Alligator mississippiensis: one gene and its partner. The protein of the gene in region 1 interacts with the protein of each later gene in a pairwise test. Links are inferred from orthologs where the notes say so. Each region holds a gene or a part of one and is shown on either strand. Other genes may lie near its edges.

Region 1 (7,010 bases):
CCCCCACATGACAACTGGAGAGCTGGAAGTTGCTCCTAGTCTGATGAATGTAAAGTAGGGGTGCACTGATAGAGATTTTGGGGACCAATACTAATAGCCGATTTTTAAGGAGACATATTGACCAATACTGATCCGATTTCTGATACAGCTGCATGCAGCTGATAAGTCATTTGTGATGGATGGGGATGGAGGAGAGAAGGGACATGGGGTGGGGGGGAGGGCAGATCAAGGCCCCACAGTGAGGGAGGGAGTGGGGCAGGGGCTTGGGTAGGCACTACCCAGCCGGGGTGGGGTGGGGCACTGGACGGAGCCATGGCTCATCCGGGAGACACAGGGTAGGGGGTGGCTCCCACAGCTGCACGCACCCCAGAAAGGTATGGGGTCATGTGCCCCTGGATCTGTATGGGAGGGCTGCAGCTGTGGGCTGGGGCTACACCAGGCTCTTCCCAGCATGTGGTGGGAGGGTTGGGCCAGGGCTGCACTTGGGGTGGGTGGTGGCAACACTGGGAGGGAGTTATGGGGGGCTGCAGCCACCCCAAATTTCACTGTACCCCCCTCCCAGCACCACAGCTGCCCATCCTAAGCACAGCCTCGAGGACAGCCCCAAGCACAGCCTCCATGCACTGGGAGCACAGCCCCCACAAACCAGGAAGAGCCCGGTGCATCCCCCAGCCCACAGCTACAGCATACCTTGCCTCCCACCCCCGTGCAGAACCGGGGGCATACGCACTCCCCATGCCCTCCCAGGGTGCACACCACGGTGGGAGTCTCCTTCCTCCCTGCATCCCCCGGACAAGCTGCAGCTCCATCCCACACCCTGTCCCTGCTCCTGCCCCTGCCCCGCCCCACTCCCTCCCTCCATCACCGTTGGGGTGTTGATCTGCTTCTCCCCACACCCCTTCCCTCCCCTGTCCCCGTCCACCACAACAGACTTACCAGCTGCACACAGGTCTCCAAGCTGCCGGGCTGTACTCCTAGCTGCCTGCGTGCTGCTCTGCGACTGCATGCATGCACGGGCATTTACTGGCCACATTATTGGCTGCATCAGCCTGATTTCCAATACAATCCATTTTCTTTATATTGGTGCCAATCCAATATTAGATCAATGTATTGGTGCACCTCTAATGTAAAGGGCTTGTAAGGACTGAAGAAACCGAGCAGAATCTTGGTGTAGATGCTACAGGGTTTGAGGACTAGGATGACCTAACACCTTCCCAAAGACTCTGGAGGACTCAGGAAGAGGAAAGAAGGGCAGCTGCCTTCTCTGAAATACATTCCCTGTGGGGGTGGTGCAGGTATCTACCCTGGAGATCTTCAAAAGGAGACTGGAAGCTCACCTTGCTGAGTTATTTGACCCCAGCAGTTTGTCCTGCCTAGAGCAGGGGGTTGGACCTAATGATCTCACAAGGTCCCTTCCAGCCCTAAACTTCTGTGAATCTTTAGACTTGAGAGGGGAGGGAGAGAAAAGGATGCATCCTCCATCTGGACTGTGGGAGATGGAGGAAGAAAGGGGAGCTGCATAACCTCAGTATTGCTCAGTGCTTTAAGGCAAGACAACACTTTCTCCACTCTCCCATTCTTGTCCATGTACTGTAGAGTTCATGAATAGTCCACAGTCCTGCTGAGAGGCAGGGAAGGATTATCACCTCTGTAGAGATGAAAAACTAAGGAGGCACAGAGGAGAGGGAAGCAAATTGTCCTAGGTCACAAAAGGAATCTGTGACAAACCTGGTAGTGAACCCAGGTTACCAGGACCCTGATCCAGTGCCTCAGCCACTGAGCTATCCTCCCAGCCATGAACAACATGTGCCTCCTGAGGCTGGGGGAGCACGGCGACTGCCCACAGGCAGCAGTGGTGGTGTTGGCGGTGGTGTCAACGGCAGGTGCATGGCAGTGGCGAGTGGGGACCGCCTGCAGGTGGCTGTGGTGACATCGGTGGCAAGGGCGGGCCGAGCAAGGACCGTCCGCAGGTGGTTGTGGCAGTGTCGGTGGTGAGCGAGGGGGGCTGGTGAGCAGTGACCACCTGCAGATGCCAGCGGCAGTGTCAGCAGCGGCCAATCTCAGGAGGGGCGTGTGCCCCCCCTGTACCCTTCCTATGCATCACCTGTGCTCCCAGCCCATTTTTATCTCTGGCCTCTAGGCTGTGAGTGTGGAGGGTGAGCGGGCAAGAGGGACAGGGGTGCCTTTCTGTGGACACAGGGAGAGAAATATGGTGAGGGAAATATGGCTCTTCTCTGGCCACGTAGGCTGGGAAGGAGTGGGCGAGAGCCTGCATCCCTCTAGACTCTGGTGGCAGGGACAGAAAAGGAACCAAGTGGCAAGGCTCTCTCTGAAATGCAGGGGGTAAGAGGTGGGCAGGGCTGTGCAGGGGGGAGCAGGGAAGCACATATCTCTCTGGGGACCTGATGGAGGGGGAGGGCAGGGCAGGGCTGCTCTGTCTGGGGTGAGGAGGAGGGCACCGCACTCCCACTCCAGGTTCTGTGGGGAGGGGAGGAAACCAGCAGGGCTTTCTTCTCCCCATGGGAGGTAGCAGCACATTCCTGTCTCAGCAAAAGCTTTGGAGATTAAAGCCCGGGAAAGGGAGAAGGGGGAGGAGAATGACTGAGTGGCTGCATCCACCATCCCCAGCCCTCTCCCCTTGTGTGAGTGGACACAAAGTAGTTCAAAGGGCAGCAGCAGAGAGCCAGGCAGCGCCTTCTTCCTTCCCCCTGCGCTGCTGGGGGCTGCTCCCCGGCTGCACCTGCAGCCTCCCCCTGCCTCTGAGCCCGCAGCATGCCCCATGCATAACAAACCAGCAGTGCAATCAGCCCAGCAGGCAGGCAGAGGATGTCTGCCAAGGCAGCGGCTGGACAGAGCCAGGTACAGTGCAGCCAAGCATCAGGGAGACCCTCTCCTGCCCTCCGCACCCCACAGGGCAGTGCCCTGGCTCCTTACCCCATGGGCCCTTGCCCCAGCAGCATCCCATTCATCCATCTTGAGCCTCTTCCCCTGGAGGTGACAAAGGCAGCATAACAATGAGAGACACCGAGGAGCTCTGGGAACTGCCTACCCCAGATTCAGTTATTAACTTTCATCAGGCAGCTCCGACTAGGACTCCCAGAAGAGCTCGGTGCGAGCCTGCACCGCACGGCCTGCTGGGAACTGTAGTTCTCAGCTGCACCACAAGCTGTTTCCATCTCAGCCCTGGCTGTGCGGTGGGGCTCGGGGGTCCAGGCCAGGTCCTAATGGATCAAAAATGGGCCAGGTCCTAATGGGTTAAAAACAACCAGGTGCTGGGGTTTTTATGCACAAAGAGCAGCCTTATTACTTGGAATGATTTATGTCAGAGTAACAGAGAGGTCACCAAAGCACGGTGCATGAGACAATTGTTTAGGTCTTCCTGGGGAGCTGGCAACTCCCTTGGTGCTGGCTCTGCTCCTTTCCAGCTGTTACATCCATGTTAAGGACCAAGATTTTAAATGCCATCCTGTAACATCCCTATTCCCTGCAGTAGTTGCACCGGGGAATGGGAGGGGTGCTGGTGATGAGAAACTGCTGGTTAAAGCAAACCTCAGATGATGGACGTGTTTGAGGCGCTAAGGAGGGAAATAAAGTGAGAAATGGGAAAGGACAGTGTGAGCTCTCATGTCTGTCTACTCTATAACCTGCTGACTGGAATATGGCTGCTGCCACTGCAGTTTCCTAAAGGTGTAATGCAGGGCTAATGATATTTTAAGAACTGCACACTTCCCATATCACAGCCCCGGCAGATGACAATATTTGGCCTCTTTGATGGTGGACTCATCAGAGGACAGTAAGGACTGTACAGGTCAGGTTCTCACTTCTAAAGGTGCTTAACCAAGTCACGGGTGACCCGTGTGCACACAGTTGATGCAGTACTGATGTTACCCATGACTGGAGACAGGTACTTAGCCCTGTTAGTCTGAGGTCAGGCAGAAAGCCTTCTACTTGTGATCTTTCGTTGTTAGTGTGACATTGCTTTGCACGGTGCTTTATACACAGAGAGACATGCCCTACCGTTGGCAATGCGTAGGGGGTGCACACAAGTGCACATGCACCCCCTGACAGAAGCACAACTGACACTGCCAGCGGGGCCTGCGGGCGGTCACCGCTCACCACCCCCCACCTTGCCACCTACACCGCCGGTGGCATCTGCAGGTGGTCACTGCTGCCAACAGCGTCTGCAGGTGGTCACCGACCACTGTTCAGTGCTCGCCCTCCCCGCCTGGTCTGCTCCACTGCCAACACTGCCATGGCTGCCTGAGGGAGCTCCCCGCTTGTCACTGCTATGCCCCCGCTGCCGTCACTGCCGCCTGCAGGCAGTCGTCGTGCCCCCCCAACCTCCAGGGGCACATGCCTTTCATGTCAATAATCTAATATATTTATAAATATAAAAACATGGACATTTCTTTCCACTGTAATGGGCTGGACATTTCTAGAGAGACTCGGGGAGGAAGGTGCTGACACTTCTGCCCTGATGGAGTTTGGTTTGTACACTTAAATGGTTTTCATAGGTTTAGTTTTTCGTTGATGGTATAGCATAAATGAAAGAATTCACTCTAAGTTGGTGTGAACGCAGCACCGAAGGCTAAGACTAAAATAATACAGTAGCCTTTTCAAGACTTTTATTTTAAAATATTGGCTAACTCCCAACAGCAAGGACTGCAGTTCTTCCTCTTTATTTATTTTGTTTGGTGGTTTCTATTGTTAAATATAGGCTGCACAAAATACCTTCCACAGCTCGTGATCTTTTTTTGGCACCCCATACGTTAATACAGATCTTCTATAGGATTATTTATATAGAGTTATATGTATTTCATGTTTAATGGTACTGAGCTATCATTTCCTCCCAAGCATATTCTAAATAAATATAATTAAAACATAAAAGGATGATGATTCATATCTAAAGGAATGTCATCATGAAGTGTACAGGGGTCATCTAGAACTGATACAAATCCAGCAGAGTATAAGAGGTTGTCATCAAAGGGACCTAATCCAGGTATTTATAAATATGTAACTACATATTTATAGATATTTATAAATATCTAACTACAGTGATATCTATGTGCTAAAACACTAATAAGGCTTGCCAAAAGTTTCAAATGTCTGGGACCTCTTACCTACCAATGTAATTAAATGCTGATAATGAAGTGGATATCTTTCATGTTCTCATGTTGGACCATTTCTCTATTTTGTTCTTCGGTGAGGCTGCATGGGTATCTTTTCCTCTGTTGTAGGATGGCCTACATAGAAGAAGATCTCAAATCAAAATCTAGGCACAGCGAGGTTTCAGAACTCTCAGGAGAGTGAGTTTCACAGGCTTGAATACTATAGCAATTAGATAAGCTAGACAGATACAGAAACGTTTTAAATTGTGCTGAACAAACTTTAAGAATGAGATGACAAAATGCTCTCACACTAAAAATCATTGCTTATGGGTGTTCCAGCCACGCTGAAGTTTTGACTGATTTTTCGAGAGGTGGCTTTGATGAAGAAAAAATATGTTTTTAGTGTTTAATGGCCACACACTGACCTTTCACTGTAAATACCAAGAAGGCAGCCACATCAGAAATGTTTGTTGTTACTCCATGGGAATCCAGGACATAGAAGTGCAAGAGTGACACTCCAATGAATTGTGCTGTCATTAGGCCTCACTCACCCGGCAGACAAGAAAGACTTGGTATAAATCCTGGTGGGGTATTTGTTTTTATAGTATTAGATTTTCAAAATCCATCGTCTTTCTGTGGATCACAGACTTGCTCCTTTCTTTACCTCTGCAGTGCTGCTGTGGGAGGTCTGCATCCCAGCCTACAAAACATGAATAATAGCTAAAAGCAAGCCCAGCAAATGTCTACATGGCTCCTGCTTGGTCTGGGCACCTGGGAGATTGAGGACGAGGAAAAACATGGTAGTTTAATTATTTCAAATTTATTTATCATTCTTCTCCCTGGATTCAGTAGACAATTCTATTTATTTATTTAAAAATTCAATCTGAATGTATATTTTCCCTGCTGCCTAGTACAAAGCCCATTGTCAGTGTCACAGTCACCACCTGTGAAAGGATAGTAAGTCTTGGTGACTGGGTGATTCCTGGCCTCTGGCTGTGGAAAGGTTTAGCTCACTCCCTCCTCCAAGAGAGACTCCTCCTGCCCTTGCTTAGTCTTTCCTGCCATGACTTTGATGGAAAATTTATAGGCGGTGATGTCTGGTCTGAGAACAGTCAATCCTTGAGCAGGGACAGTACCAAGAATGATCCCAGTCTCGTGCAGCACTGTGTCCTTCAGGACCAGCCAACTGATCTTAAGGGCCAAATTTTGAGAGCTCCTCCAGCCCCCTACACTCCTGCCTCATACCTCTGGTGATTTAATTACTTTAAGTCCTATCTTCACCCAGCCTTGTTGCTGTAGGTGCCAGATTTAGTTCCTGGGATACCCAAGAGTCTGTCCCTTATAAGGATAATTAAAAGTAAGCAGTTCAGCTACTCCTCACCTGTCCAATGCTTGGCTCGCTTCAGTGTCTGTTCACTGCCTAGCCTTAGTTCCTGGGGCTTCTTGGGCTCTCCTGCCAGCTTTCTGCTCCGATCAGGTGTGATCTTGGCTGCACAGCTTAGGCTTCTGATCCCTATGGAGGAAACGACCAAGACTTGATCAGCTGACTCCCGGCTTGGGTGCAGAACTAGGTGAAGAGATCTGGCCCTTCCCTTTCTCTGGACGATGACTCACGTCAATGTGGATCTCTGGCTTCAGTCTCTCTCCCTGTGAGTCTTCCCAGTTCAACTGGGTCTGGGTGAGGTACTGACCCCAGCTATCCTGATTCCGCGCTGGTTTGAGCATGTCAGATGGGTCGCAAATTGGCTGGAGGGCCACACCCAGAGAGTGGTGGTGGATGGGTCTTTTTTGATCTGGAGGGATGTGGGAAGTGGGATCCCCCAGGGCTCGGTCCTCGGACCTGCGCTGTTCAACATCTTCATTAGTGACTTGGATGAGGGGGTGAAAAGCACCTTGTTCAAA
Region 2 (7,434 bases), on another chromosome or scaffold:
TACTTTCAGCTTCCAGGGCTAGACTAAAAGGTATTCTTTAACATGGTTAGAAAGTATCAGAGGTGACAATTAACACCATCTTCCTCAGCTTTGTGGTGGGGTCACATAGACAACACAATGTTCTATGAAGGATGGCCCAAAATCATGCTTTATATGGATTCTTTACCACTGTGGACAGAGCCCCAGCCCTATCCATTGCTGAGGGCAACCTTGGGATCTTGTCCCAGTATGGGAAGAACCAATACGTTATTCTTCTCTTCCAAGCTCTTAGCCCTTACACACTCTACAGAATTGTCTGTAGAGTCAAACCAGAATACTACTGGTATTCACCACCAGCAGTAGCAAAGGCAAGAGCTCTACTACAGACAGGGTTTGGGCATTTCACTATCCACACTGCAGAACAGTGAACACTCCTACACCCCACTATCAGTCCCAGGGGTTGAATTACAGGCCATACAGAGTGGACAGGACCTGCTGTCATCACAAACAACTGCCCAGGTAGGTACTTCTGTTATCCACAATCTCCTACTGCTGTCACCTAAAGACCACTGGAGGAAGCTACATTTATTACAATTCCCAAAACATTAGTCACAGTCCCCTTTTGATTTTAAAAGTCATTATTTCCAGCAGCTTGACCCAACCCTGCTCAACCTGTTACAGTTGGCCTGGTTTGTCCTACACAAATGCCAACACTGAGACACTTCAGGAACATAGAACCCAGATCCATACCTGAGAGCGCTTCCACTTGGCCATATCAGAAACCATGTTTATCTCCTTTTTAGGGATCATGAAGCTCTGCTGGAGGGGAGAGACTGCCTCCTCAGAGGAGCCTGGAAGAGGGAAGAGAGAGAGGTCAAATAGAATGCAAAACAGAATACAACTCCTTCTGGCCTCAGCTCCTTTTCTGAAGTCAAGGCTCGTTTCTCTAGACACAAAAAATGACAACTCATCCCCACTGTGCCAGCTCTCACAAGCTGAGCCAAGCCAAGACCAGACTCTCCAGTCCTTTGACAGCATACTGCCAAGGGACACAGCCCTGCCACAGAAAATAGTGATAGGCTTTGAACCACTACAAAAAAACGTTTTCTATTGAGATGACTAATGGCATAAAACCTTTGTGCAGGCAGCTTAATTAGCTATAGTTAATTGAGCTAAACCCCAGCTGAGAGGTAGCAGATTGGCCTCTAATACCTGTGTCTGGTCACAAGGGTTTTACATCAAGTTAACTACCCCAAAGGCATCTTTTACAATGAAGACAAAACCTAAGTGATTCAGTAGGTGGCACTCTTTACTCTGAAATGGGATGAAGCCAGCATCCCCAAGACCGCACAAGAAGGCCTCTTGGATGCTAGAGATGCTGTTTCAGGTGAGAACAATATTCTCTATAAAGTGCATTGAGCTGCTAGGATGGCACGCATGATATGAATGCAAATCAGTAACACATAAGATCAGCATGACACTGCTCCAGGCCCCCAGTACACAGCCAACTTTTTTCATTAGCTGGGAAACATGTTCCCCATCCTCCCTTCCTCACTTGAAAAAAAGAAAAAGAAAGGAAGCTGTCCTGAACACCAGGGTTATTGCTTTCCAAGCCCCACCACAGTCCAAGGCTCACAACTGGCTCCAGTCTCACTCTGCAGTCCCACATGTGGCAGCGTTTCTAGCTCTGCAGTGGCCTCAAGGTTAAAGGCACAGTCGCATCACATTTCTACGACCAAACTTTATCATCAGGATGCAGTGCAGCAAACAACAATTAATCAAGAAACTAAAGGTATATTTAGCATGAAGCTACCATCCCTTTGTTCATTATTTTAATCTTAGAAGAGTCCAAACTTTTTTCCAGCAACATTTTAATAATCATTCTTAGCGCTACCTGCAAACTGTAAGCACCAATTCTGTACTAAGCCCCAAAATTTGAACTGCCGAAAAACTGTAATCACTAAACTTCATTTGCACAGACAAATCTGCTCAGAAACGTTCATCGGCTCCTTCCTCTCTTCACTGACAATGCACAGCTCTCCAGGAATCGCACCAGACGACCCACAACTCCTTCAAGCTCTGCCAGACTTACCACGCGACTCCAGGGACATCATTCAGCTGGTCTGTGCCTTAGTTTCCCTACAAAACAATCCCACTGCCCCTCACTAGCACGATGCAAGAAACAGTTAATGCATGTTTGTAAAATACTATGAAAGCCCTGGATAGCAAGACACAATTTAGGAGGAATTAAAAACAGATGTACCCTGAACTGCTGCAGCTGATCCAGCTGACAATTAGGCAGCATCACATTACCATAAAGTGGGTTTTTAAATAATGCTCTATATTCATGGATGCAAAGAGCAGCAACCTCAATAGACCTCCAGAGTACTGATAAAGGAAAAAAGAAACCACTGTGAACAGCTATAAAGACAGATCGCGGGGAACAGGGAAGAGTCAGAGACATCCCTGCCGAAGGGCCGAGGCACCCGTCTGGGATTCAGGCCTCCCGGTCCCTTCGGGCAAGTCATTTCATCTCTCGGCGTCTGTGTACCGTGCCTCCTGCACGCTCAAACATCTGGATGCGCACACATGCGTGTACACATGGACACAGACATGCGTGGACACACGCACGCCCATGCACACCCCTCGTCTGCCCAAAACACAAGGTCTTTGGACAAAAGCTCCCTCATGACGCAGGCGGCCCGGCACCAAGAGCCAAGGGGAAGGGGCCGGTGGGGGGGGAGGGCAGGGGGGTATTTTGTGACGAGAACAGCCCTTGAGGAAGGAGACGCTGCCACCCCCCACCCCCCCGGCCGGGGGGCTCTCTCGGGCAGCAGCAAACCTCGGCCCTCCCAGCGCCACCGGACGAATTTGATTTGCGTCTTTTGCGTCCCCCAAGTGACCCCCGCGCCCCACCGGGACCCGCAGGCTCTGCCCTCACCTGTCTGCCGCTCGCTCTCTGCCATCTTCCTGGAGCCGGGCCACCGCCGTTATCACCCCCCACCTCTCACCTCTGCCCTCCCGACACGCACCCGGAGAGCAGTCCGGCGGCCATCTTTGGGAAGGGCACGTCGTCTGTCCCATAAGAGATTGCCATGTTGGCGCGGAGCATGCCGGGCGCCGCCGCTGCTAGCGCGGCCATGTTTGTACCGGGCAACACCCGCGAGCGGGCATGTAGGAACAACTCGCGATCCTTCAAGCGACCGAGAATTCGGGAGCGGCCGGAGGGGTTTCTCCTCCCCCCGTGTCAGGATGGGCCCACCCGCGAGCCCGGACTCCAGCAGTTCCCCGCCTCGCCCCCCGTGCGCTCAGAGTCACCGCTGCCCGCTCGGGAGACATCAGCAGCGACGCATGCAGCAGTGCACCCCAAAACCGGCCTGCCCTTCCCTTAGGGCAGAGAGCGGGGAGGTGGGGCAATGCCCCTCACAAAGATGGCAGCGGCGCCGCTCAGAGTGAAAGCCCGCCCCTCACAAACATGGCAGGGCGCTAGCTCATTGGTCAGTGCGGGGGGATGCCCCGCAGAAAGATGGTGCCCCTTCCATACACTAGGTAGGACATTGCCCCGCACAAAGATGGCGGGAGTGCCGGCCCCTCCCAGCTGCTGAAGTTACCCTGGAAGTTGCTGCCTGTCCCTGCCTTTGCGGCGCGGGACCGGGACGCGGCCGAGTTGGGGTCTGCTGCAGGCAGGAGCTATGCTGGCCTTCCTAGCCAGGAGCCTGGTAAGTGCAGCTGCCCCTGCCCCGCCATGGGGCTGTTATTGCACCGCGGAGGCAGGAGGGAACCAGCGTTGCCAGGTTTTAAACATGAAATGATCATGGCAAGTTCAAAATTATCGTATTTGCTGGAGAAAAAAGAAATCGTACGCTGATAAATATGCAAATAAGCCTGCAACTAAGTCTTCTTCTGGTTTACTTTCTCTTGCTCACTTGAGCTGCCCAGTGAGAACTGGGTCACAGGAGTGGACGTGTTTCTTTATTTGGAGGCCGGCGGTCACACAAAGGCCGTGCATGCAAGCAGTGTAACAGGACTGCTGTAGTTTAACTGTCAGAGTCTGTTTTAATTGGCCAAGTGAACCGCAGTGCTCACTTGACAGGTTGCTAGAGGTAGTTATATATGTATTATACATATTTTTGCAAAAAAAGACAAAAAGGAAGCAAACCCAAAAGTCAGTTAAGGCTCCCGGAGAGTGACTTGGGTTTTGCACATTAGCTGCCTCCAAAATTAGCGTGTATTTTGAACACTCTTACTGTTATAGATCGTACAAGGGTTGAAATGATTGCACAAATACAATAATGATGGTACACCTGGCAACGCTGGAGGGAAGCCACAGAGAGCGATGCACTACCCTGCCCCAGGGGAGGCATGGGGAGAAGGGCTTTGGCCTTTCTGGGCCGTTATAATGGGATTTGCGGGCTGAGGTCAAGCACTGCGAGCAGAGCAGGATGTGGAGGAGCAGGGCTAGCTCAGCTCGGGGCAGGTGGGTGGCGGGGGAAGCTGCACCCAGGGCCAGGTCGGGCCGTGAGTAGACTTTGCCTCGTGGCGGAGTGCCAGGCGCAGGCTACCTTTCCCTTTCCCTTGCCAACAGAGCTTTGGGCGTTTGCCCTGCGGCACGTGAACCTCCTGCCCAGAGACAGGTGGCCAATGGAGTCATTCTCCGGGGTGGGCAGGCCTGGGCGAGGCTCTCTGTGTCAGGCTGATTAGGAATCACCCTCGCCCAGAGCTGCTTTGCTGTGCCAGGAATAGCAGTGTAGATCTCTGCTTGGGTCCCAACACGCACTTTTCTCTGGACTCTCCCCTCTTGTCCTGGTATCCCCAGATCCCTGTTATAGGTGCCATGAAGGGGAGCAGCAAGGCAGGCCGGCTTCTCTCTGGGAGGCTGCCACAGGTGCTGGTGTGCACGGGCCCACCAGGCTCTGTGGCTGTCAAAGCTGGTGCCCTCAGGGGTAGTAGCCTCCCTGTCTGTGTAGACGAGGGGGTTTCCTCCATTACGACTGTGTAGTTGCTGTGTGTCTGCACCAGGCCAGAGACATGGGCTGTCATCAGAGATCCACTGCAGCAGTGAAAATGTCCATCAGAAACAGGCAAGCAATTAGCCCATTTCCAATCTGGACAAAGGGGGCCGCTGCTGACAATCACTCTTGGTGCAAGCTCAATGTTGTAGGGTAGCCAAGGTCCTAGGGCACCAGTTTCCTGTAGAAGCTTTTACAATAGCACTTCCCCTGCTGTCAGAGAAGATTTCACACATGCTGCTGCCCATGAGACTGGTCAAACCCAGTTGCCCAGAGGATGTTCTTGGCAGTAGCAGCGACTGGGGAAAGGAGAGCTGCAGAATGGGTCTTTATTCTCTTCCTGAACAGATGGTCTGTTCTCCCCATGCTGTAGTTTGTCCCAGGACACTCGGGGTTTGGCTCTTCAGTTTTACCCTTTACAACCAACCTCCCTATCTGACAGTCTGCATGTGGCTGAGTGTGTGTGTCAGACATCACACAAAACTTTCTTGTGACTCCAGGCCCATGTACTCTGCTGTGTGAAGTCCTGAATAGGCAGGGGGCAGCAAGTCCCCAGGGCAAAGTGCAGTAATCTGCACATCACAGGTCCAAGGGAATCAATAAAACAAACCCTTTGGCAAACTAATACATATTACTAGTCATGCCATGACCCTAACAGGGCAATGGTGTCCTGTAGCTTAGCTGGAGTGCAATTTGGCACAAACACCAAGCTGCAAGGTGAGCCAGGCCATCCAAACAAAAGTGCAGAGCATCCCCTGTGTGTGAGGAGCTGTCCCCATTTCCCATGGGGACGGGAGAGCCAGGAGTCAGCTGCCTTCTGACAACTCCTATGGTCAGACTTGCTCACTAGTATCCCAGCACTCACCCAGTAGTTACTACTCTGGAACAAGCAAACAAAAGCTGCTGGAGATAAAAACCTAAAAAAGTAATGCTGGGAGTGGGGGTGGGAGCTTCATAGTTTGGGTTTTTATCCTTCACAGTATAGTCCATGAGGATTTTTTTCCATTTGAAAACAAGCAAACAAAATAGCGTGTTGTCCCAAACAGCTCATTGCTCATGGTGATATTTCTTAATGGAACATTGCTACAAATATGTCCATGTGGCTTTGATTTAATTCAGAGGTGGGCGAAATACAGTCTGCAGGCTATATCCAGCCTGCCAGTTGATCCTATCCTGCCCACCAGCTTCCACCAAGAGTGTGAGGAGGGAGGGCTGCACTTTGTACTGCTCCGCTCTGCTTCACCTGAGGTCAGACCAAGCCGTGCAGTGCACAGCCTCCTCCACCCCCGACTTTCCTGGTATGGTACGAAGGCGGCAGCTCATCTCAGTAGGTGGGCAGGACACCTGCTTGGCATGCTGCATCATGCCCTGTCCCGTGCAGGCCTAGCTGTTGATAGCCATGGTGCCAGGATTGCGTAGCACCAACAGAAAATCGGGGGGGGGGGTGCTTGATGCAGGGGGTAGAGGAGTCTGTGCATTGCATGGCCCAGGCCCTCAATGCGGATGCAGCCCCGCTTCCTCAGGCTCCTGGTGGCAGCCAGAGGGCTGGATAGGATCAATTGGTATCACCCTGCCTTTCCACCCCCGTCCCTCAACAGCTCACCAAAACTCATTAAGTGGCCCTCCAGCCCAAATAATTGCCCTCCCCTGGTTTAATTGCATCTAGTTACACAGCCATCCTCAAGGCTGCAGGGATGCTAATATTCTTGTTGCCTGCGGTGTTATCATTGTGGGTCTACTGCCAAGAGCCTAGCATTCAGGATACGCAGCCTGACAATCATGAATCTGGCTTGCCTATGTCTTTGGGGATTGGTCACAGGACGTGGCCTTTTGTCTGCAGGCTACTGATTCAGATTTGGCCCACACACTGAATTCATATGTCCACCTAATGACCATTTGATCAATCTGGACGCAGGTTGTCTGACTGGTTATTGCTGGACTTTGGCCCACGTGAGACACTGCAGCCACTGTAGTTAGCAGTCTGTGCAGAAAGGCTACATTCCTCTGCCACCACTAGAAGCCTTCCCTCCACCTCAGTTTTTATGAAGAGGCTTCTGCTACTGCCCGCTACCCATGGTGTGTGCTTTCTTGTGTGTGGACAAATCTCTTCTGCCTCTGGGAGCATCGGTCTGGCACCAACCCTGCAATGAAGAGCAAAACTCTCTGATTGCAGGTGATGGAGTAAAGGACCTGGGAGCTCTGGCAGCCACAGAGGGGTTGGAGACATGCCAGACAATACTGATACTGGCTGGGAGGTGGCTTGGCACCTCTGCAACTACAATGTATGGTTTTGTGTTTTCTTGACAGAATAGAGCAGTCAGAGAGCAAAGGTTGCTAAAGTATACAACTCCGTGTGTGTGCTAGAACAGGGTAAGATTAGAGAGGAAGCCTGAGGCAGAGACAGAGAGGCTTACAGGGTTTTCCTTCTTCCAGCGATGGATAGGAA

What was found.
Region 2: the proteins of AMOT (region 1) and PTPA interact in binary tests that used the Homo sapiens proteins (3 or more experiments, as listed by UniProt). The two-hybrid records come from large-scale screens. The link is inferred for Alligator mississippiensis from reciprocal best matches to the Homo sapiens genes AMOT and PTPA.

Annotation. Positions count from the first base shown.
Region 1 is NC_081831.1:66,324,400-66,331,409, reverse strand, and holds the start of AMOT (angiomotin), read right to left. Parts: upstream 3,040-7,010; 5' UTR 2,935-3,039; intron 1-2,934.
Region 2 is NC_081835.1:58,229,129-58,236,562, reverse strand, and holds the start of PTPA (serine/threonine-protein phosphatase 2A activator), read right to left. Parts: upstream 3,064-7,434; 5' UTR 2,946-3,063; coding exon 2,921-2,945; intron 831-2,920; coding exon 730-830; intron 1-729. Other genes in the region: CRAT (carnitine O-acetyltransferase), read left to right, coding at 3,672-3,698. UniProt on the Homo sapiens protein: PPIases accelerate the folding of proteins. It catalyzes the cis-trans isomerization of proline imidic peptide bonds in oligopeptides. Acts as a regulatory subunit for serine/threonine-protein phosphatase 2A (PP2A).